Linked DNA regions of Schizosaccharomyces pombe. The gene in region 1 interacts genetically with each later gene. Each region holds a gene or a part of one and is shown on either strand. Other genes may lie near its edges.

The links. A genetic interaction does not mean that the proteins touch.
Region 2: mutations in iwr1 (region 1) and eme1 together harm fitness less than expected from each alone (positive genetic interaction), as found in Schizosaccharomyces pombe (2 studies listed by BioGRID).
Region 3: mutations in iwr1 (region 1) and res2 together harm fitness less than expected from each alone (positive genetic interaction), as found in Schizosaccharomyces pombe (2 studies listed by BioGRID).

The regions. Positions count from the first base shown.
Region 1 is NC_003424.3:1,592,224-1,599,896, forward strand, and holds iwr1 (RNA polymerase II nuclear import protein Iwr1), read right to left. Parts: upstream 2,317-7,673; 5' UTR 2,232-2,316; coding exon 2,171-2,231; intron 2,118-2,170; coding exon 2,049-2,117; intron 1,960-2,048; coding exon 1,647-1,959; intron 1,558-1,646; coding exon 1,167-1,557; 3' UTR 1,079-1,166; downstream 1-1,078. Other genes in the region: peptidase family curved DNA-binding protein Cdb4, read right to left, coding at 1-860; signal recognition particle receptor beta subunit Srp102, read left to right, coding at 2,972-3,139, 3,188-3,703; glutamate-ammonia ligase Gln1, read right to left, coding at 4,269-5,348; SPOM_SPAC23H4.05C (uncharacterized protein), read left to right, coding at 7,108-7,401. UniProt on the Schizosaccharomyces pombe protein: Directs RNA polymerase II nuclear import.
Region 2 is NC_003424.3:3,293,510-3,301,469, forward strand, and holds eme1 (Holliday junction resolvase subunit Eme1), read right to left. Parts: upstream 6,405-7,960; 5' UTR 6,359-6,404; coding exon 6,272-6,358; exon of another isoform or gene 6,216-6,271; coding exon 6,124-6,215; exon of another isoform or gene 6,040-6,123; coding exon 4,011-6,039; 3' UTR 3,833-4,010; downstream 1-3,832. Other genes in the region: glycerophosphoryl diester phosphodiesterase Gde1, read left to right, coding at 121-137, 442-3,832. UniProt on the Schizosaccharomyces pombe protein: Interacts with mus81 to form a DNA structure-specific endonuclease with substrate preference for branched DNA structures with a 5'-end at the branch nick. Typical substrates include 3'-flap structures, D-loops, replication forks and nicked Holliday junctions.
Region 3 is NC_003424.3:684,660-692,003, reverse strand, and holds res2 (MBF transcription factor complex subunit Res2), read right to left. Parts: upstream 5,470-7,344; 5' UTR 5,412-5,469; coding exon 5,180-5,411; exon of another isoform or gene 5,016-5,179; coding exon 3,274-5,015; 3' UTR 2,825-3,273; downstream 1-2,824. Other genes in the region: atp20 (F0-ATPase subunit G), read right to left, coding at 20-151, 201-298, 348-474; ATP-dependent RNA helicase Rok1, read right to left, coding at 1,076-2,521; glutamate-cysteine ligase Gcs1, read right to left, coding at 5,734-7,344.

The DNA of each region.
Region 1 (7,673 bases):
AAACTAATATTACGAGTGGAAAATGGGAAAGGACCAAACTTAGTTTGGATTTCAGAATAGACTTTGCGGCTAGCTTGAAGTTTCAACATGTAAGTTGTATCGGTCTTTTTGTAAATACGAGTAGCAATGTCAGAACGCTTCACTTTCCCAGAAGGCGATGTTGAAACAAGAATGTCAACGCCATAAACTTCTCCTTCCTCAAACGTAAAAGTATCCATTTCACTACGTTGAGAATCAGAAGGATTTAAAATAACCTGTTTTTTGCCATCAATAACTTCACGCTCTTGCTGATGGCTAAGCATACCAGCAACAGGTTTGCAGCCATAGCTAGTAGCAATTTTGTCAACAATGTCAGTGACTTGCCAGTTAGTATTACCAGGTTTAATAGTGCGTTGAGCAGCCTTCAAAGCAGCAGAAGCAGCTGCAATAACATCAGCGGCAGGACCAGTAACTGGTTCTTCAGAAACTACAGTTGTAGTAGCGACCAAGGAAGCAAATCCATCAATATGAGCACCCAAAAGAATTTTTACAACATCACCCGATTTCAAAGCGAGATTGGCTTCGGGATCACTTTTTAAAGGAGATAAATGAGCAGCCATATCATTAGGAGATACAGCGGTAGGGAAAGCAATACCTTTATAAGCATCCTTGGTACGATATACTTTCTTGATAGCTTCGTTCAATAGTTCATCACCACGAACGCAAATATCGTATATTTTGGCTCCAGGTTGGCATAATTCTACCACTTTTTTAATAACATTTTGAGAAACTTCGCCTGCAATTTTATATTTATTGACGGTTTCAGGATTACTCAAAGAATAATCGACAGCAGTCTCTGAAGTTGCTTCTTTAGTCGACATATTGTCTATGATGTAGCTAAATCTGGCTACAAATTCAAGAACTTGGTGCTAGGATTTTGCAAGTCACAAAATTGTGGACTCCAAACTCATGAATAACATGGCTCATATTGAATCCTATGATATAACTAAATAGTAATGCTATTAAAATTTACACATATTACCCAGACACAATATAATGTATGAGTTTTTAAAAAATACAATAGAACAATTTACTAAATTCCTGATATAAATTTCTCCAAATAATATCATTCACCTATTAAACTGTAACCGATTTCCATTTTGTTCGTTTTTTTAAGTAGCAAACATCTAATCATAAAAGTCTTGCTCAGCATCATCGGAGTAAGCAAATTCATCATTTTCACTGCTATCTTGCCATTCGTCTTCATCGGGATAGCTATTTTGATAGAAGCTTTCAGCGTTTGAATCCTCATCAATTTCATCATGTAATGGATCATCTTTATCAGAGTCCACTGTCTCGGAGACTAGTTCCTGTTCTAATGAAGAACGAAAAGCGTCTGGGATGGACAAAGCATCAATTACACCATAAGCAAACGTTGGCTTGTTTGGTTCTTTGCTAGATGCTTCATAAATATCGTATACGTAGTCTTCCGTAGATTGCTGAAGAGGAAGGTCTCCATTTGACAAATATTCTTGAATCATAGAATCTAGCTGAGGATGCGGATGATACGTAGTATGTCTATGAATGTTAGTTAAGGTAAAAAAAGCCAAGAGCCAGTTCTTATAACAACAGAACTAAGTAATTGACTCTATTTGATGTTGACATACCCTTGTTCGACACGGATAGCGTCGAACACTCTATTACTTTGAGTAGAAGGTAAATTCTGAATTGTATAGCGTGGGGATGAGAAAGAAAGAATACCTTTTGTATTTTCACGGGATCCCAAGTCCATGTGCGTAGGTGCTTTCACAACGTCTTCAGAAGTTTGGACGACAGGGATTCCGTAATTGTTCTTTTTTAGAGATGATATTTTTGTATGACTGTGGATATTTCGAACGTCTTCATGAGTGGGTTCCGAAGATTCATCATTTATCTGAATATACCGATCATCTTGCTTCAGCGTTTGTGATAGTTTAAAATCTAGAAACTGTCAATAAAAGGTAATTGTGTTTTTCAAATGATTAGTCCTTGTGTAATATTCCAACACAAAAGCTCAAGAAGTAGCATACAATATCGTCCGGCGAATTTCCTTCTTTTCGTACTTGAAACAGAATTTGGATTGTTTCCAAGTTCCAAATCTAAATTATTAAGGAGTTAGATAAAGAAAGTTTACTTAGAAGCTTGGTCGTACATAGGGCGTTAACAGGATCTTCTGAAGCTTTACGCTTAACTCGAAGTACTGGAAGAGGCATCTTCGTATCACAATTTAATAACGAGAGTTAGACGACTCTTTAAAAAAGGAATTAATATAACCAGCAAAATCTACGGTTGGGGGATGGCAAGTCTGCAATGTAAAAAAGGTAGATATAAAAGTAGCTCTTCGACTGAAAGACAGCAACTTCAGTATAACTTGGATTGAAGTAGTATTACAACAACGCAATCTTATCTTTCAAAATGTAAAATATTCTATAGTTTTATTATTTTAAAATAAAAAATCGTGAAGTTCATTATTTATATCATTGTCATCACTTAACAAAAAGAACTTTTCTATAATAAATAATGTTGAGCAAACAATGAAGCAAAAATATTCAATAAGTCTAATTACACAAATTCACAACTTAAAGATGCCCCACAACAATTAATTCCACTCAAAAGAACCGATGATATAAATGTATACTTTGACGATTAACAAAGATTGGTCTAATCAAGCAATTATCTCATGTAATACATTCAGGAAAAATGTATTTTGTATTGTTTTAATTAAATTCAAAAGAGGGTACAGTCAATCTCTACTGCTGCAATCTGTACGAGAATTGTCTTTTTTAAACAAAACTTCGAGAACTAGTTTGGATGCTTTTTTTTTTTTTTTTTTTTTTCACATTTATTTCTCTCTTCTGAAAAATATATCTTAATCAACGATCGTATGAAAATGAGGTCTTTGTAACATTTGACATATATCTTCTACACACCCAACTGGTACCAACAACAGCATATGGATGGAACTTCTCAAGCTTTTAAAATTATTGTAGCTACAATAATTATAGGAGCTATTATATCTACCCTAGGAATTTTTTTTACTAGAAAGACAATTCAAAAGAAGTTACCAGCAGTGTTTTTAATTGGACCTAGCGATTCTGGAAAAACGTCTTTGTTTTGTGAGGTATAACAATAATATACAATCTTTGAATACTTATTAACTGTTATATAGCTAATTTATAAAGAAAAGAAAACTACAGTTCCTAGCATTGAACCTAATGAAGCTGTGTGGAAATATGGTGCTTGGTTAGTAGATCTTCCAGGGCATCCCAGGGCCAAACGTTGGATTACTACTAAATTCTCTGGAAATTATAATGTAAAAGCTGTAGTTTTCGTTCTCAACAGTGCTACAATTGACAGGGATGTGCACGAGGTTGGATTGATGTTGTTTGACACAATTTTAAAATGTCGCAAGCATCATGTCCCTCATCTATTAATTGCCTGTAATAAATTTGATCTTTTTACTGCTCAACCTGCGGAAAAAATTCAACAATTGTTAAAAGCTGAACTGCACAATATTTTGGAAGAGAAAAATCTTCAACTCGAATCTATAGTCTCTGAAGATGTCGATTGGGAATCAGTTGCAGATCAGATTGAAGATACTGATCTTAAATTCCTTCCTGGCAGCGTTGCAAAAATGTCGAACATTGAAGAATGGATTTCATGGATGGAATCAGCTTTACAATAAAGATGCATTAATTATTCACAATTGATAATTTACAAGTAACCAACCAAAAAAGATATATTTTTGCATGTCTAGAATAAGCTATCGTTTTATTTCAAAAATTCGTAATCTTGTGTGAATACTGTAAAATACTTAAAAAAATTAACAGGGTTGTTGACAAACTGATTCGTAAAGTACTTGTACTTAGGGACAGCTTGGGTAAAAAAAAACAAGAGAAACATTAATATTAGTATAAGAATATCAAGAAAAGAACAATCCAAGGTTGTATCAAAGCCTCACATACGCAATGAAAACACTCTTGATCATTATAAGAAGGTGAGCAACAAGCTCAGTTGATAAATGGTGATACTTTAAAAAAATGACTGCAACGAATGCATCATATGAAATATTCTAAAAAAAGATAAACATCACAAAAAAGTGAAGCTGATAAACAAAATTACTACACAACAAACTCATTAAGTCCTACAAACAAAAACGTGATATTATAAAAACTTAAACACATATTTCAAAATGGTTAATAACTGGGTGGTCGACGTGACCTGCACGTTAAATTATGAGGGAAAATTGTCTAATGCTCAAACATGGTCTCAGTGATGATACCAGTGACGAGGTAAGGATCGATGGAAGAAGCAGGACGACGATCCTCAAAGTAGCCGCAACCATTCATGGCGACAGAACGGGGGATACGAACGGATGCACCACGATCGGCAACACCATAAGTGAACTTATCGATTGAACCAGTTTCATGACGACCGGTAAGACGCAAGTCGTTGTCGTCACCATAAACAGCAATGTGCTCCTTATGGCGTTTGGCAAACTTCTCGAGATAAGACTCAATAGCTTTTATACCACCTTCAGCACGAGTGTCCTTAGTAGAAACGTTAGTGTGGCAACCAGCACCATTCCAGTCACCCAAAATTGGCTTGGGGTGGAAGGAGATTTTGACACCAAAATCTTCGGCAATGCGGTGAAGAAGGAAACGAGACATCCAGAGTTGGTCACCCATTTCAATACCAGCGCAAGGGCCGACTTGGTATTCCCATTGGGAAGGCATAACCTCAGCATTGATACCGGAAATGTTGATACCAGCGTAAAGACAAGCCTTGTAATGGGCCTCAACGATGTCACGAGCAAAGACGCGGCCAGTACCAACACCGCAGTAGAAAGGACCTTGAGGACCAGGGAAACCACCCTTAGGCCAGCCAAAGGGACGGTCATAGTAGTCCAACATGGTATATTCTTGTTCAATACCAAACCAAGTTTCTTTGTCAGCGTGCTTCTCCAACAACTTGGCGCAAGCGTCACGATGGTTGAAGCCGTTGGGAGAGCCATCAGCGGTGTAGCAAGCAGCGAGAACGAGAATGTTGTCACCGCGACGGAAGGGATCATTGTACATGGCAACAGGCTTCAAAAGAGTGTCAGAATTGTTGCCGGGGGCCTGACCGGTGGAAGAGCCGTCAAAGTTCCAAACGCGCAATTGGTCAATAGAGGAAGGCTTGGCATCGAGAGTCATGGTCTTGCTACGAAGATGGTTGAAACCATCGATCCAGATGTACTCAGCCATAACCTTACCATTTTGAGGAAGATCGGCATACTTGTTTAAAATAGCAGCCTTGGAGAGAAGAGGTTCAACGTCGTATTGAGACATATTGAAAGTAAAAGGGAAAAAAAAGGTAGAAAAACAAAAGATAAAAAAAAACGAAAGTCTAGAGAACGGAAATTTGAAAACTAGCAACAGAAGAAAACCCCGTTACAAAACAATAGATCGATTACTGTAAACCAGGATTAACAAAATTTGTCAACGATCGAAAAACCGAGATAAGGATATCGAACGAAGTATATTAATGAAGAATAAAAAAAAAGTAACTTTAAACCAAGGCAACAATTATACCGAGTTTAATCTAAATTACCGTGTAGAGAAGAAGAAAACCCCCCAAAAAAAATTTATATGTATAAAATAAAATATGTGTAGGAGCGTGAATTATATATGTTACTAGTAAAAGCAAATATATAACAGCGTTTTTTTCGTTTTACACAATCAAATCTTTCTTTACAAATCTAGAAGAAAGAAAGCCGAACAAACGAAACGAAACGAAACAAAAAAGGGTGGAAATTTTTTTTTGGCTTCGAAAATGTTATTTGGAGAAGAGTAAGGTGACTCGCGCCTTCACTTTATATACCACGACCGGTTAATTGCACCTCGTCCTCCAACACTCCGTTAACGAGGAAACCGGCGTAGATAAAGAGTTTGGGGTAAGGGTTGCAATAGATGGGCAGCATTTGATTGGGGGGTTCTTGTCCAGAATGCAAGATATCACAGATGATTGGAAGTATGGGCCAATCATGGAGCGAATGAATGATATGGAAGATAATTTATCTAGAATGATTGGCGGAAAAGGCGCCTAAAGATAGTGCCAGGGATCGCCTTTTTTCCATTTTTTTATCATGAATTAACCCGGAAAAGCTGGACACCGCAAGTCATCGTTGCTGCAATTACGGAGATTTTCGGAGCGCGTAAAGAGCGAGAGAGAGAGCAGGCTGGGTATGATGGGTGCTCATGTGTTCGCTTGCATGTATGAGCAAAGCAAAGGGAGAGTTGATACACACACACACACACACAGAAAGAGAGAGAGATATAGAGAACGAGGATATCAGTTTAAAGAAATGAAGCTTCATAACGAGTTGCCTTGAAGATATACATTGCTATTACTACGATTGCATGTTGTGTAATTAAAATTAACAAGGTGTCATTGTAAATAATCAGTTTATCTCAAATGTGTGATAGTCTAAATTTACTTTTGCTACTAAGTAGGTAATTAGGTTGGGTTGCTTTATCTCTAGGTAGGCAGTTCTTCGTTGGTATTCTAGATACCCCAACCAAGTGTGGACGTATGCGACGATGATAATAGTGGATAGGAAAGCTAGACGCTGACTATTCAGCGTGTTTTAATTTTAATTTTTTTTTTTTTAGATGAGGAGGGGCTTCTTATCAGGATTCAATGAAGCTATGTGTTGCCAGCTGTTGACTAGACTAACATTGAAGTAACAATACCAGGGCACGACAAGTTCCATCAAGGGCATGTCTTAACACAGTCAATATGAGTGAGGTTAGCAATAAGAACGAGGTTAACAAAAACTGTAGAATGAAAACAAAGAGTAGCGCAACAAAATAGAGAAGAGCGATAGGGTCGCTGAGATATTGTTAATGCATTCATATAGTCAAACGATGGATAGAAACGAAAAGATTGCTGATAAATCGCATGGATCTTTGCAAATTTATTTTACAAGCTAATTTCAGTTGCGCGCAAAAAAAAAGTAAATAAATAGATTTAAAGAAAAAAAAAACAGAAATATAATAAAAATAAAGTAAAAAAAAAAAAAAAAAAAAATAGAAAATAAAATGCTATATGCTTCTCCATGGACTGGGCCGCATGAATATCATATTCATCTGTTTTCCCTCTCTTGCTTGCCTCTTGACATCTCGGACTCCATTGTGCGCTCCCTTGTTTTCCCACTTGGATGGCATGACACCATGCCCCATCGATTGCGGTTTTGCCGTGGGGCGTTCCCGTGGAGGCGGCTTTGGGGGTAAACCTGAAAGCAATTCGTTACACTACGATACAATGCATAAGCAACATGCGATGCCCTTCTTTATAATAAACCCGACAGAATGGAAGCGAAATTTTTGCAACACCGGATAAACTAGAGCGCGCAAATCAAATAACATCAATTTCCAATGAAACATGTTAATCCAAAAATTTCCTTTTATTTTACCAGGGTGTCATAAACTACGACTACGACTATAAATACAACTATTTGGGCTAAACGACTCTGATTCAGGCGAAAATATTCGCACAAATTTCTTCCATTCAGTTGATACTTACGACAAGGCGAGGAAATGAAACCCACCAAGAATCGCTACTTCGGCGTCGTCGTTTGGTACTTTTTTCACTACCGTCCTCCATCAGTCTTT
Region 2 (7,960 bases), 1.7 Mb from region 1:
AGTAGTGGTATTCTACCACGTATTTGAACTTGGCCTTAGCCAAATAGTAGTTTATGAACGATTGGATTACTCCATTAATTTCGATCTCTCTCAAATTCCTGAATCCCAGTCCTCTTTATTATGAAGTTTGGTGAAAGGTAGGTCGACATATTTTACACATTTTAGAATGTTGTTTAGACCTTCAAATAGCCGTTAAAGAATGCAATATTTGCAAAAAGTTTATTATGGTTAAGGCTTTTAATGTCTTGAATGTAACGGTTATGTTTGAGGATACGCATTTGTGTTGAATAGGAGTACGGGATTAATTAAGATGATCTGCCAGTAAACTCCTTTCCCTTCATTCTCATCATTTGCAACCGTATGACTAACCATTGTTTAAACTTTTCTTTTTCTTAGTTTATAATTGTTGGTTTGCTTTAGTCATTGTCTGCTAACCGACAGTCTTCAATTGGCGTTGATCCCGGAGTTTGCAGAACAGTATGTTGATTATAATGGAATAAAGCGAAAGATTCAACTGGTTGCTGCGCTTCCCGAGGATGAACGGAAGAAATTATTGAGGCGTAATAGTGACGGATCATGGCCAAAGGGATCGATCGACGAAATGTTGGAAAACGATCTTCAGAAGGTTGTTAACTTGTTCAATACTCGCATTGTCCAGCTTGATAATTATGTCACTCGTTTGTCTACGGAGAAATCTCCCAATACTGAAATTACACAGGCACTGTCTTCATCTTACGAAGCTGAAGAAAAGGCGAAGCAACTGAAAGAGCTAGACTTTCGTCTTCAACAATTATCATCCTTTTGTGAATGGAATAAGCTGGCCTTTGAAAAGCTAGCTGCCAATATGGATAAGCACCTTGGTACGGAGCGCTTGGTTACATTTTATGAGCAGAAGGTGTGTAAGCTTGATTTTGCGAATTCGTCCAAGATCTATGAGTCCATGATTGCCCTGAAGGCTTTGAATTCTTCTCAAAACGATAGTGAAGTGAAAGACAAGTTGGAAAAATTGTCAATTCACCATCCCTTGAAGAAGGATCTTTTAGCTTTTATTCAACTGGATATTGCCGCAGAGGTCGTGACCGCTTGTATAAATGCACCTGATAGTGTACTCGTAGATATACTGGCTGCCTCCATCATTGCGGGAGCCAAAGCTTGTATGCGTGAAGTTATAGGAAGAATTGGTTTACGTTCTGAGTGCCTGGCTTCTGCATTACGTCGTGCAATTAACAACCTCTGTGGTCCTGACGAAGGAGTTTTATATTTTTTGGAGGTGTTGAAACAAATTTGTTCAGTGGTTTATGTGGATTCATACCATTCTAATCGTTTACTTTCAAGGATTCTTCTTGTAGAACGAAATAGCAAGGGACAGAGTGTGATGCACTCTGTTGCGAAACTCGGTTGGGCAGGATTGTGCAGTAAGTTTTGTGAAATTGTTTCATCAATCCCTGACTCTGAGCCATTGAATTGGATGCTTCCATGTTGGCGCGATGTAATGCACGACACTCCCTTGACTTTGGCTATTAAGGGAAATCATGTTGAAGCTCTTCATGCTTTGCTTTCTGCTCAGGATAAGGAAACAACCTCTACCAAGCCGGGACCCGTTCCTCCTTTGGTCTTGACTTGCTGTGTAGGCGATTACGATTTGATCGTAGAAGAACTCATCCTTGCAGGATTCAATCCTAACGAAGTTGATGCTAGTAGCAATACAGCTTTACACACCGCTGTTCGTTATAACAGGCCGGAATGTGTTAAAATGTTACTCAAACTTGGAGCAAACCCTAGCGCAAGGGATTTTTTGAATTCATGGACTCCTTTGATGCTTGCATCAGCTACTGGACTTTCCGAAATTGTTTCAATTTTAGTTGCCTCGGGCGCTTCGGTTGACGAAGTTGATTCTTCAGGTTGGACTGCTATGGAACAAGCTGTGGTTCGGGGGTATTTACACCTAGCAGATAAACTTAGAACTCAAGTCGCCTTGAGTGATAAGCCTGTTAATTTACATACACTTTATATCAAAGCCTCAAGTTCCGAAATGAGGAGCAGAAAACGTGCCATGGATTTACAATTATCTCGTTCAGTGGTCATTATTCGAATCAGTGATTTGGCCGGTAGAATCCGCGTTAGTCTTCAAGGTGATGATGCTGTGTATGTTTCAGGGCGGTCTCCATCTTTTGCCGCAAGTAGACCATCTTCAGTAGATTTCATGTCTCAATCTACTGACTCGTTGAGTAAAAACGACACTACTGCTTCTAATGGCTCTATGACACCATCTTCTAGCCAAAACAACTCAGTGATTATTGATATCCCTCGCTCCCATTTTGATAATGCCGGTGAAGTTTGCTTAGAGAATTTGGCGGAGCCTGATGAAATTGCCGACGACTCTATTCATTTGCATTATGATGCCGCACAAGAAAATAGTCCGCAACCTGTAAACGGGTCTTCTCCACCGTATGAATTGGTTTTCGTTACAAGAAATACAGAAGAAGCAACTATTACAATTGATTTGTTAGCAAATCGATCCCATAAAATATTAGGGAGAACTGTATGTTGCTTGACTTCTCTGGTATCTGATTTGGGGAATCATATGCAGTCGTTGAAACCTTTGGCACCCTTACCATTACTTTCGAGTAAAACTCTTAAACCAATAGCTCATGTTAATGCGGATGTTCTTATTTCTAAGGTGACAGTTGATGATAGATTTTCGTCAAATGATGGCATAAGTACCCCTGCCTTATCGCTGGAAGCAGTTTCCAACGTAAGTCGCACTGCATTGGAAGACGCTGAGCGTTCTTTACACAAATCTGCCACAACTACATCAGAATCAGGGAAATCGAATGGTGTTGCGGTTATCGGACATCGTGGACTTGGTAAGAATCAGCCTGATCGTTTGAGTCTTCAACTTGGCGAGAACACTTTACAATCGTTTATAAAAGCGGCAGATCTTGGTGCTTCTTACGTTGAATTAGATGTGCAAATGACTAAAGACATGGTCCCAGTGGTATACCATGATTTTATCGTAAACGAAACCGGAACGGATGCACAAGTGCATTCGCTGACTTTGGAGCAATTCTTAGGGGCTTCCCACTCTCCTTCAGAAGAAATTAAAGATGATGCAAGTGACATTCAGCAGAAGAGACGTCCTAGGGCCTACAGTTCCTCATTTACACCTTCAGGATCACAGGTTAATTTCGGTGAATTTGCTGAAGAAAACGCACGTTTGAAGCCTAAAGTATATAAGGGTAATGCCCTTGGTCATACGATTTGTGCACCGTTCACAACTTTAAAGGATGTTTTGAAGGAAGTTCCACAATCCGTAGGACTTAATGTGGAATTTAAGTACCCCATGCTAAGTGAAGCTGAGGAAGAGAAATTGCTCCCTATAGCTTATGATTATAACTTTTACGTGGATACCATTCTATCGATAATCAAAAAGTATGGTGGTAAAAGAAAGTATATTTTCTCTAGTTTTAATCCTGATATATGCATCTTACTTTCTTTGAAATCGACTAATCCTGTTCTTTTTTTGACTGAAGGAGGTACCGCTTACCGAACAGACGTTCGTGCAGCATCGCTTAGACAAGCTTTAAAGTTTGCCTCACAGTGGAGTTTTCTGGGTATCGTTAGTGCTTGTGAACCGCTCATTATGTGCCCGAGGCTGATCAAGGCAGTTAAACAATTGGGTTTATCTTGCTACACCTATGGTGTTCTCAATAATGATGTTGACAATGTCCGACGCCAAGTACGTTTTGGAGTTGATGCTGTCATTGTAGACAATGTGTTAGCCATTAGACGTGCCTTGAACCAGTACGATGAAAGTTTGGAATCTGATTGATCTAGAAAGTTTGAACGAATACTACCGACGATATAGAAGATGAGGTGCTTTAGTTAGAAACCGATATTAGTTAATTTTTAGTTAGAAGAAAGTATATCATAAGAAAATTTCATAGATAGAAAAAAAAAGGAAAAAATATCATGATAACAATTAATGAAATACAAATAATGACCGATCACTATGGTGCATCACTGGATGCTTCTTTACATAAGAAAGTGTTATATATACGGCGCGATAAAACCGGACCTAAATTTCGTTCACTAATACTAGATTGGATGACAACGTTGGTTAATGATTCCTCGCCGTGAGTTTTTAGATGATGAATTAAAGATGGTATACTGTCAAATTGATCGCATATGGCGTTAGCAATGTTAGGTGTAACTCGTAGTATTTGCCGCAACATAAAATTTAGAGAGTTTTCAATTCTATCGGCGGATTTGACATGTCCTATTTCGGTAGTAGAGGCTCTAGCTGAAAATTTAGAAAAGTGCTTGTAACGAGATAAAGCTATGTCGCCGGTAAAGGAAACTATCCATTGAGCGGTTTCTTTTTCGTCATTTGAAGTGTTTATAAGAATACTATGTTCGAAACTGAAGCGGACGATTTCACTCTCTAACTTTTCTTTAGTAAAGTTTTGATATTTTGATAAAGAACCAAATAACAAAGGTCTGGTACCGCTATTAACAGCTGCTGCATATTGACGATTTAATTCTGCTTTCAGAGATTTAAAATAGTTTGGGATGCCTTCCAGCAACAGTATTAGCTTACAGCCTTTAAACTTTTCAGACATTTCATGAAAAAAAGTATCAGCTTGGTCCTCTTCGATGTATTTTATAAAATCCCGGCATTTCAACCGTAGTAGGGCAAAAGGTTCGATTTGTTCATGCTCTATGCTAAGTTCAAACCGGTTGGTAGAAGAATTAAACACATTGTTTACCTTCCTTTTCCACATAATTGAGTCTTTTGGTTGATTTGAATTGACAACGAATTGGCAGTTGTATGAATCTAATTGAGAGCGAACAGTTGAATACCAAGATGAAGCCCAATCATCCGGCGATAAAAGAATTATCTCAGATAGGCATTCTTCTTTGGTTCTCTTAACTTTGTTAATTTTTTGAAGTTCCTTTGAATTCTTTCTGTCCAATTCTTTCGCCATCTTTCTATTCAAGCTGTCAACCTTATCTAAAGTTTTTGATTTTTTCAAAGAATCTTCGTAACGTTTCCTCTTACGTTGTGTATTAGAGTCTAGCTCGTACGGTTCCAAGCTCCTAGAGCATAATTTTCTCATTTTTTTTAATTTATCCAAATTTTTTTTATTTGAATTTGAAGTAGAGGCAGGAGGCGTATCGGTAGTCCTTGAAATTTTGGGTAGTCTCATTTTTTTAAAAGCTCTACTTTGAATGGAAAGTTTGTTTAGAGAAGGAAGTTCTTGAAAACTATCTTCCTGACTAGTATTGGGTTCAATTGAAGAATGCTTGGATGGAGAGGTCGGGCTATCTAAGTGCACATCAGATGTGAGATTGAAAGTTCTTTCTTGATTTTCTACGGAGGTTTTGGAACGGTTATTGATGAGGTCGATTGTATTGGAGCTGTCTTGGTTAGGAAATAAATTAGGCGTAGAAGGGGCATGTGATAATCGATTAGAAGTAGGACTAGCGATGGATGGCATGCATGGCTTTAGTATAGAGGATGAGGATGTTAGTGCATCGTTGAAAGATTTTGTTTTTGTTAGCGGACTCTGGGTAAATGGGAAATGATCGTCATCATTCGTGTCCAGTAGTATATCGTGAAGGGAGTGGGATTTTTGAAGGACTGTGGAGAGCGGCGGGGAGGACTGGAAATCTTTTAAGGGTGAAGAAGTCAAAGAAGCAGCTTTTTTAGATAAAGGGGAAGCCACTTGTTCATTGTCGTCGGGAATAACGATGGGAGAGGAGGTTTTCGATGACAATTGTGTAGTCCTAGGAATGGTGGGAGTATGGAATAAATGAAATTCTTGGTGTTTTGGTTGCGAGGAAAGGGAATTAGGGGGAGAAGAGTTTAAATTAATGATTTCGACGCGTGAAGAAGGATTTAAATTCGTGTTTGTTGACTGGTTTGAAGAAGTTAAAGAGAGCAAAAGATTATCGGTAACCGACTTTTTATTAGTGATATTAAGGGCATCACGGGGACTAGGGAGAACATCTTCGGAGCCGGAAACTAAAGGAGTACTGACCCCAAATGAACGATTAGCGAGATGTGGAAGAAAAGTGTGGAAAGGAAGGAAATGCTGGCAACAATATTTGTCAACTTACCTGAAACTTTTTAGCAAACTATCGCATTGAGTAGATCTTTGAGGAGTATCAAGAACAGTTATAACATTGTGTTCTGACAAAGCAATATTGTCCTAAAAAGAGGGTTAAAAAAAAAGCGAACAGAAAGAAAGGGAAATACGCGACAAACCTTGGAAGGAGAAGCTTGTGAGCTTGAAATGTCAACATCAGCTTCAGAATCGATCACAATAGCGGAATCTGTAGACTGCAGAGTCATTCAATGCATGTGTAGTGTTTGTTTTCCGAACAATAGAGGGTTTGGTGGTTAGGACAGGTAGGGCAAAGTGTACACAAGGAGCCGGCAGGGAACGAGAGTTGGTGACAGAAATAGAGCGAAAAGAAATGAGAAAAAAAAAAAAAAGTTTGAAGTAAAAAATTTAGATAGGAATGGTATTAAAGAGTTTGAATAATTAAAAAGATTGGAGGTTTGCGTGGATGTTTGAGGATATTTGGTATGGAAAGTATAGAGAGTAGTAGGTTTGTTTACATATAAGTATATATAGGTTAGGTGAGAGATGGGTAAAAAATGGAGAAGAGAAATGGATGCAGGAGGAGTTTAGATAAGATGAATAGTATAAAAAAAGGAAAATATTTATTCTTTTAGAAGTAGTTGAAAGGATGTCGTTTTGTGTTTGAGAATTGAAGATTATTGAAATCAATGAGTGGGATGGGTGAGTATTTCTTTTGCAAATACTGTGGTTTAGTGTGTCATTTTGAAAGAATTTTAGGTAGAAGGGCGATACGGTATTTAGGGACTTTGGTAGTACGTTAGAAAGTGTAAAAAGATTGAATAAAATAAAAATTTCAAAGAAAAGAAAATCAATTAATTTAACCAAAATTAAAATAAATTCAATTCAAATTCAATAGAATAAAATACTCTAATATTTAAAGCTCAATAGTATAAAAATAAAAATAAAAATGTACTAGAGTTTCTTTTTCATTAGTCTGTTTCATCAATGATGGTAAACAAAAAAATAAAATAAAATAAAATAAAACAAAATAAAAATGAAAATGAAAATGAAAAATCCTTTGATGCAATGTTTCCAAATGGGTTTATGCTTACTTTTTTTTTGTATTCTTTAATTGATCAACGATACAATGAATGATGAGTAAAAACTTTTTTTGTTTTTACCATGAATACATTGTTTTTCTTTTTTTTTCGGGGGGGGGGGGGGGGGGGCTTTTTTTTCCTTACTCTTCTTTGTCTCTTTTTAAAATTTTCTTTTTCTATTTAATTTAATTTTACTTTTCATTGCAAAATCAATTCTACTTATTAGTTCGCAGTTTAAAACATTTTTTCATTGCGATCTGTGAATTTTGCAACCAAACAAAGAAAGCAGAAAGGCAAGGGTGTAGAGTATAGTAGAGCAGATCAAAGCAAAGCAAAGTAAAGAGAGAGAGAAACCAATATTCGCAAACTGAAATTTCTCCTTTTTTAAGAGGACCAACGAGTTGTGCGAAATTTCCAAATTATTCATAGTAAATTCAACTGCATTATACAAGTATAATCAATACACACTACTATCTTTTATCATTCTTCACTAAACAATCATTAGTAGAGTACGAAAGTCATCGCTACATTTTACTTGTGACCAAGCCAAACCTTTTTTCCTTATAGTCAAGACAGTGTGTATCAAGGCAGCGTATGTGAATAGCAACAGCGTATGTATATGTGTGTGTATCATTGTTCGCTATAGCTTTTTTCTCTTAGTGTCAACGTGTGAGTGTGATAAGTTGTATTTTTACAACGGAAATCCTTTAAATAGACTCTTATACATGTTGATCCAGCAATAAGCCAAAAAAAGTGCAATACGTCAAA
Region 3 (7,344 bases), 910 kb from region 1:
AAAGATTAAATTCATCTTTTTAATGATATGGAGTAATTTTTCTACGACCAACCATCTGGCCAGCGCAGAAAATACCAACTATTTCAACTGCGATGAAAAAATTGCGGCCCCATGCTTCAGAGGATTGACTTTTCCAAAAAAGGAAGGGAGACTAAAAGAGAAATTAGTGGATCTGTTCTTTGTAGCAAATAGTTGCTTACATGAGTATTGGAAGGGGGTGCAATTTTTTGAGAATGATATACTTGTTGAACCAGCTCTTTCGAAACATTTGCCCAGTACATAATAGGTTGTTGTACAGCTAAATTGAAAAAGTTAGTTAAACAAATTAACCGTTATGTTTAAAATACCCGATAATTTTTGGATTAAGGGAGTGAAACGACCCTTGGCTTGTTCAGCAACTGTTTTAGTAGAGTAGTGACTCTTCCTTAAAAAATTGTAATTAATACGAGAGATAATTCGACTTGTGGAAAACATTATACTTCGAAATAGCCTGAATTGGAAAGAGATGGGATTCGGTAAGTTAAGGTTGTGATGAAGTTTCTACTCCCATATACCAATTAAGTAACACCAATTTTTCTCCGTTCATAGGTAATTTCAATGATACACAATATAAAGTAAGTTAAAACAATATAATATTTACTGAAACACACTCGTGATTTCGAAAACGAGAAATTATAAAACAGTGTCAGCAACGTAATATAGCTTTCAAATTGTAGTTAAAATAACAATTGCAAAAACCCTGTTGGGTACTTAAAATAAAATAATCTCCTTGTACCTGTTTACGCCTACATTAATTGTACTCGTGTAGATTTTTATCAGTTTTAAAAAGCCGTACAGCACTTGCTGCATTATTGTTAAACAAAAGATGTAAAGTTAGATATGTCAGGTACCACAGTAACATAAAAGTTTCTTACCACAAATAAAAGTAAAAGAAAATAATATGATTGCTAAAAAATATAAGGCTCTATTATATCAAAGCAATAGTATTTTGGAGTGAATATGACTTTTTTAAATGAACACAAAAACTAAACTAAAACCCAAAACCCTTTATATAAATACTTTCAGTAGCAACAATCTATTGTCCACTGTCTCCAGTAGCTTCATTATGCTTTTTGATAGAGGCTTCTTTTTTTACCTTCTTAATATACTCCTTCTTACGCTGTTCCTTTTGTCTGTCGTAAGAAGCTCTAGTAGTAATCCTCTTTCTTTTAGGAGGACTCTTCTTCAACTTCTTTTTCATTTCTTTACTAGGTTTAGGAAGTGCCATAACCCAGTTTGGAACCTCGCAACCTGATGAACGCATTACACCAGCAATAAGCTTGATATATTCACCATCTTCCTTTGTAAAAAAAGTAACGGCCTGTCCTGTATTTCCTGCACGCCCAGTTCGACCGATACGATGAATATAACTATGAACACTTTGAGGAAAGTCAAAGTTGATGACCATCTTTACACCATGAAAATCGATACCACGAGCAAGAAGATCTGTTGCTATTAAAACCCAAATTTCACCCTTCCGAAATTTCGCAAGTGCTTCTTCGCGCTTGGCTTGTGGTAATTCTCCATGAATGACACCAACGTGAATTTCATCAAATAAGAGTTCTGTGTACAATGCTTTCGCTCTTTCTATATCTTGAACAAATATTACGACTCGAGGCTTTAACTCTCCATTTGAAATCATTTGACGCAAAATCACAATTTTGGAAGTATCCGAACCAACAAACAAGAGTCTCTGATCGATGCTATCCGTGGCTGCATCTTTCAAACCAACGATGATTCGAATCGGATCAACCGTTACGACTTTAGCTAACTCTTCGACGCGTGATGGAATAGTAGCGGAAAAAAGGCTTTTACAAATATTAGAGCTGGTGCATGCACTTAGAATATGATCAGTTTGTTCAATAAAGCCAGGCTCAAAAAGTCTATCAGCTTCATCCATAACAAAGAATTCTACTTTTTCAAAGGACAATCCGGTTTGTATTGCTTGTACTAATCTCATCGGGGTGCCTATGCACATGTCATACTTTTCCCGGAGCTTGGGCGCTTTTTCTTGAATTTTTTCATTAGATTTACTTAATTCAATTATCTTCAATGAAGTTCCAAAAGACAGCTTTTCTGCCTGTCTATATATTTGCTCGCACAGTTCTCTAGTCGGCGCTACGATAATCGCTCTATATCCACCCGGAACATGTAACTGAAGTTTTTGCAAAATTGGGAATAGATATGCAATAGTTTTTCCAGAACCAGTTGGTGCACATGCCAATAGGTCTCGTTTAGAACCTATCGTTGGAATGGCATATCTTTGAATTGTGGTACATTCTGTTATGTTTTGTTTTTTTAAGTTTTCACAAAGTATTCCTTCCGGAAACTCTTCAATTGGATCAACAGGATTATTACCAGTAACTTTAGCTTTTCCCTTAGTAATACCTTGTAATTTTTTTGCTTCTTTTTCTTTTATAGAAGGTTGAGGTACTTTATTCTTAAATTTGACATTAGTTGTCAAAAGTTTCAACGCATCCATTTCCTTATGCAATACTTAATTATCAAAGTTAAAATATTTTAGTAGATATTTCAACGAAGGAACAAAAATAAAAGATTGTTGAAATTTTCAATTATACATATACACGACTAAAGTAAGTATGGTAGCTGCTGGGGAAAGGCTGCACTAACGTCCTCTAGTTAAACCAGTACGTTAATTCAAATTGTGTATTCCAACAGCGTTATTAAATTTATGTATGCTAAGTAAACATAATAAATGTATTCAAAAAAACGCGATTTCTGCGTTTATAGGTTACATATTTTTATATCGTATTTACGAGAAATACTGCTATAGATTTTCTTTCAATTAAATAATTGATTATTTGTATTAATCACTCTTTTACCTATTTGAACAGGACCCTCAAATTAAAGTGAAGCTCAGTAACTTGGTATCCTTTAGATGATCATTAACGTGCGAATGCAAAAAGGATGAATCATGAATGGAAGCACGCGCTGTAAATGAGATAAATCATTTTACAATAGTAGATTGTTTTAGCTGCGCATAAATAAGTAACATAATAGTTTTGTTAGGAAGGAGCAATATATGTTTTTTCCACTTGATTCCATTCGAAAATAATATATAAAATAACTCGTGTTTTTCTATCAAAGTATGATAACGTTGATAAATGCAGTTTGACAGTGAGTGTCATGGATAAAATCATTAACTATCATAACTCGTATCATTAAATAAAGAACGTAACATTAAGACAAGATGTAAATGAAAGTTTCCAAGATTCATTTTTCTCGGGTTAATGCTTCTTCCACAGCATCGAGTATTTCCAAACTCAAATCTTCAGGGTTGATGCCACAACTCATTGCAATAAGACGACGGTAACTATTAACTGTATCATCAATTCCTAGTTCTTCATACAATTTTCTAATATACAAAGTATCTTTTTTGCGGGAAGCTTGGAGAGAAGTTAACTTATTAATTAATTGCTCATATTCATCAGAATTGGTCACGTTGTTGCAAGCCGGCTTTTTAAAATCGTTATTTAACGAAAGTCCGTCTTCCTTTTTTAAAAAGTCGGAAGGAAAACTAATAGATAATGAAGTATGTGGCTTGAGGCTTCTCTCTAAATCAAAGATTTGTCGTGCTTCCAACCATATTAGTAACCTCTTCGAAAGCTGCTGGTAAGTTTCTTGGGCCTCTCGAATCAAGTTTTCCATAGATTGACTATAAGTGGGGTTATTTTTCTGCAGAAAGGTCAATTCCTGATAAGTTCTGGAAATTTCATTAAGCGTGTCTTGCTTGAGACGATTCGCTCTAATCAAATCTTCTTCTTTTTCTCGAAGCTGAGATTCATACTCCTCTGCTAATTGAGAAAATTTCGAAGATATTGAAGGAATTGCCTTAACAAAAGCATGCGATGAGCATGATGGCGAGATAATAGCAGGGCTTATTCCGGAAAATGAAAAAGCACTATGCGAAGCATTTGAGTTTGACTGTAACAATGAATGTGGCTTTTTGTCAGCTTCCAAAAGATACTCGGAAGCTGTACGTCTTTGTCGGTTAGGAATAGAAGGATTGGCGTTATAACTTAATAAAGAGTTTACACAATCCATGGCTCCATTTCGAGCAGCAATTAATAGAGAGGTATCTCCATTTGAATCTTGTAGATTTACCAATCTCACAACATTTTCAAATGGTTGAATCGATATTAGTTTCTCTAATATGCAATCCAAATAGTATTTGGCCGCTGCAACTTTTGAAGGAGTTGAGGTTGATTGCACAATATGATGAAAAATTGACTGACCATTGGTGTCAACAGCATAAATAGTAGACTGGAGAAGCTCAAGCACTTGTCCAAAAGTTTGGCAGTCATAATTATTGGTAAAGATAACACTCCTCATCAATGGTGTTTGACTCAGTCTGTTACACACGCCAATGTCAGCATTGGCTCTCAGTAATAACTTAATCATCTCTATATGTCCCATTGAGCATGCCCAATGAAGAGAAGTGTGGCCATCATCATCAATAACACTGTTAACTTGAAAATCCGGGGGCGGCGAATACAGGAAGGAAGGAATGCGTCCCTCTTCTGGGTGAAGAAAGAAGTCAAGTAGTGACTCTTCATATTTGTCAAGCGGTGCCTCCAACATGCCTAACTCTTCAACAGGTTTTATAGTGTTATCATTTGGTGATAGCAGTGCATTAGGAGACGCTGGCAGAGGTGTTGCAGAAACTTGCTCCTCTGCACCAGGCAAATTCACTTTATTCATAGATGACTCAATTGTTGGTGATATAGAAGAATTCGGTTGTTTTTCATTGACGGAATGCAAAGTGCTACTAGAAAGTGACGACGGTTTACGGCCTCTACGGCCACGTACAGAAGGCTTTTTCTGCTTGGTCTGCTTCTTCTTTGGAGCAATTGCTTTTCCCTCATCAATGTCAAGACTCAATATTGGGCTCATTATTCCGTCAACCTTATACTTTGTGGCCAGGTCGACCCCACGCTGAAATGGAACCCAAGTTCCTATAGTTTGGTTAATACCGTCAATCATTTAGAGGACGCGTCCATAGAGATATTTAATACAAAAAGGTATTAAAATACCTCGATTTGGCTTAGTAAACACTCAATTGTTCGCGTTGTTCAAAGATAGCAAATCATGTCACAACGCGTAACAGTAGACAACTTACCCTGATATTTTCCATATCCACCTTGTACTTTTTCATGCGCACCAATCTGTACTTGTCTTTCTAAAACCCTTGTCCTTTGTGGTTTGTCAAAGTCAGCCACTTTCAAGATTTGTGTAGCATTCAACCAGGAATCGCGGCGTCTGCGCATCACAGAGACACCTTTAATAAAGCATTCATAGACTTCAACCCCAGAATAAACGGCAACATGTACTGCGGAAGAACGTGGAGCCATTACAGCAAAAGGCAGTTAAAATGCGTAGCGCGGACTCTTAAAAGGGTGCATGCATTGCGTTCGCTCACCCTACCTGCGTATACACATAACAATAGGGAAGGGTGGGGCAATACAGAAAATCAACTATGTAGTTACTGAATATATATTAGCACTAATTAAATAATGAGTATTCACTTAATGAAAGGAATCAATGGGAAGTCTCAGTTGCCAAAGAACTACACTTGTAATACTGAATTGCAAAGGAATTTAAATTACCAAAATTTTAGATATGTTATTAAGTAGAAAAAAATCTTATATATATTCCACTCAGAATTCATCTGCATTATGAGCATTTTCCAAGTAACGTATCGTCGTAGTCGCCATCTACAATTTTTGCTATTCTTCTAATTAAATCATAATTAATTTCGTCGTTGACCACGCTGTCTTGCTTATAAGAAGGATGAGTTGTAATGAAATTGCGTATCCACGAAGCAGCAGTCAAGCATTGGCCATTTGCTCTTTGAGAAATTAGGCGAATATAACGTTCAATTAGGCAAATAGTTTTGGCATCAGGATTACAAGAGTATAAATAGCTTCGAACAATGGTAATTAAACCTGGGAATCCGTTTTCACGGTGCTCACCATTAAATAACTCGTCAATTGTAAGTTGACGGAACTGACCAGATTCATCATCAGTACTTGCGTCAGGAAATGGATTGCAACGGAACCAAAACTTTTTACGATGAATGGCATCACGAGCATGAGCAGCTTTCATGTTTTCATCCACTAGCGATATCGGCATGTACAGATTCAAATTGAAGGATAGAATTGCACGAGAAAGCATCACAACAAAAATTGAATATGCCGCATTTTCAAAATCAGTTATTTGAATTTCCATTGATCTAAATTCTACACGCCAACCAATATCACTACCTGGTGGAGGAGGTTTAAAGCGCATAGATTGCCAGTTAGTTGAGTTTAGGTTCTCAAAATGAGCATTGGATACACTGTTGTCTTGTAAAATGCTGTCACTGAAAATAACCAAAGGATCACGAGAGAATATGTGAGCCATGTGCTTAGCCAATCTTTCATCAATGCAATCTTTTATTAGCTTATCGTAGCAATCTTGATTTATAACGACCGGGACGTCATTATATTCCGGTAAATTGCGCTTGTCATTCGAGATATATAAGTCAACAGAATCATACCTTGATTTTGGCACAGTTTTCATTTCTTCCTCGGTTCGATCATCGACAGCACCAGCAATCACATTCCATCTACAATCTTGATCAGCCAAATAGCCTCGAAATGCTGGAGTTCCGGCAGATAATGCCAGCATCAAGGGGGTAATAGGAGTCAACTGATCGTATAAAAGTCTAGCTTCATCACAACTTTTAGCTTGGAATGTAATTTGTAGACAACAGCATCCCATACCGAAACCCATACTGTCCATGTAAATATGATTGTCTAACGCTGCACCATCTCGTGCATTTGCATCTTCAGGAAACAAATTTCTATCCCAAGGAACGGTAGGATCGTGAAATGGTTTAATTGTATTTTTATCGAAGAAAATCGGAACATTCATGGCCACTTTTCTCCCGCGCCTTTGACGAATATTAGCAGTCAAGGTCGGGAAACGAACATGTGTGTTGATAACATCGTCCGGTAAGAAAAAAGATCGCGAAATTGCACCATTGGCTTCGACTTCTGGATCCGTAAAGCCTGGTGTTCCAAGACGAAAGAAATTAGTAATTGTTAAAGGTAGCTCATTGGGTAGTAAATGGTTTTCAATAATTTTTCTTCTTAATCGCATATTGTACTCTACAAAAGTAAAATCCTTTAAAGTGGAACCATAAGGCGCACCTGGTGTACTTTCCAACATATAACGACCATATTCTGGATGGAAAGTAGGGACCGCGTTCTGCGCATGTGGTTTGGTGGAACTCGTAATTTC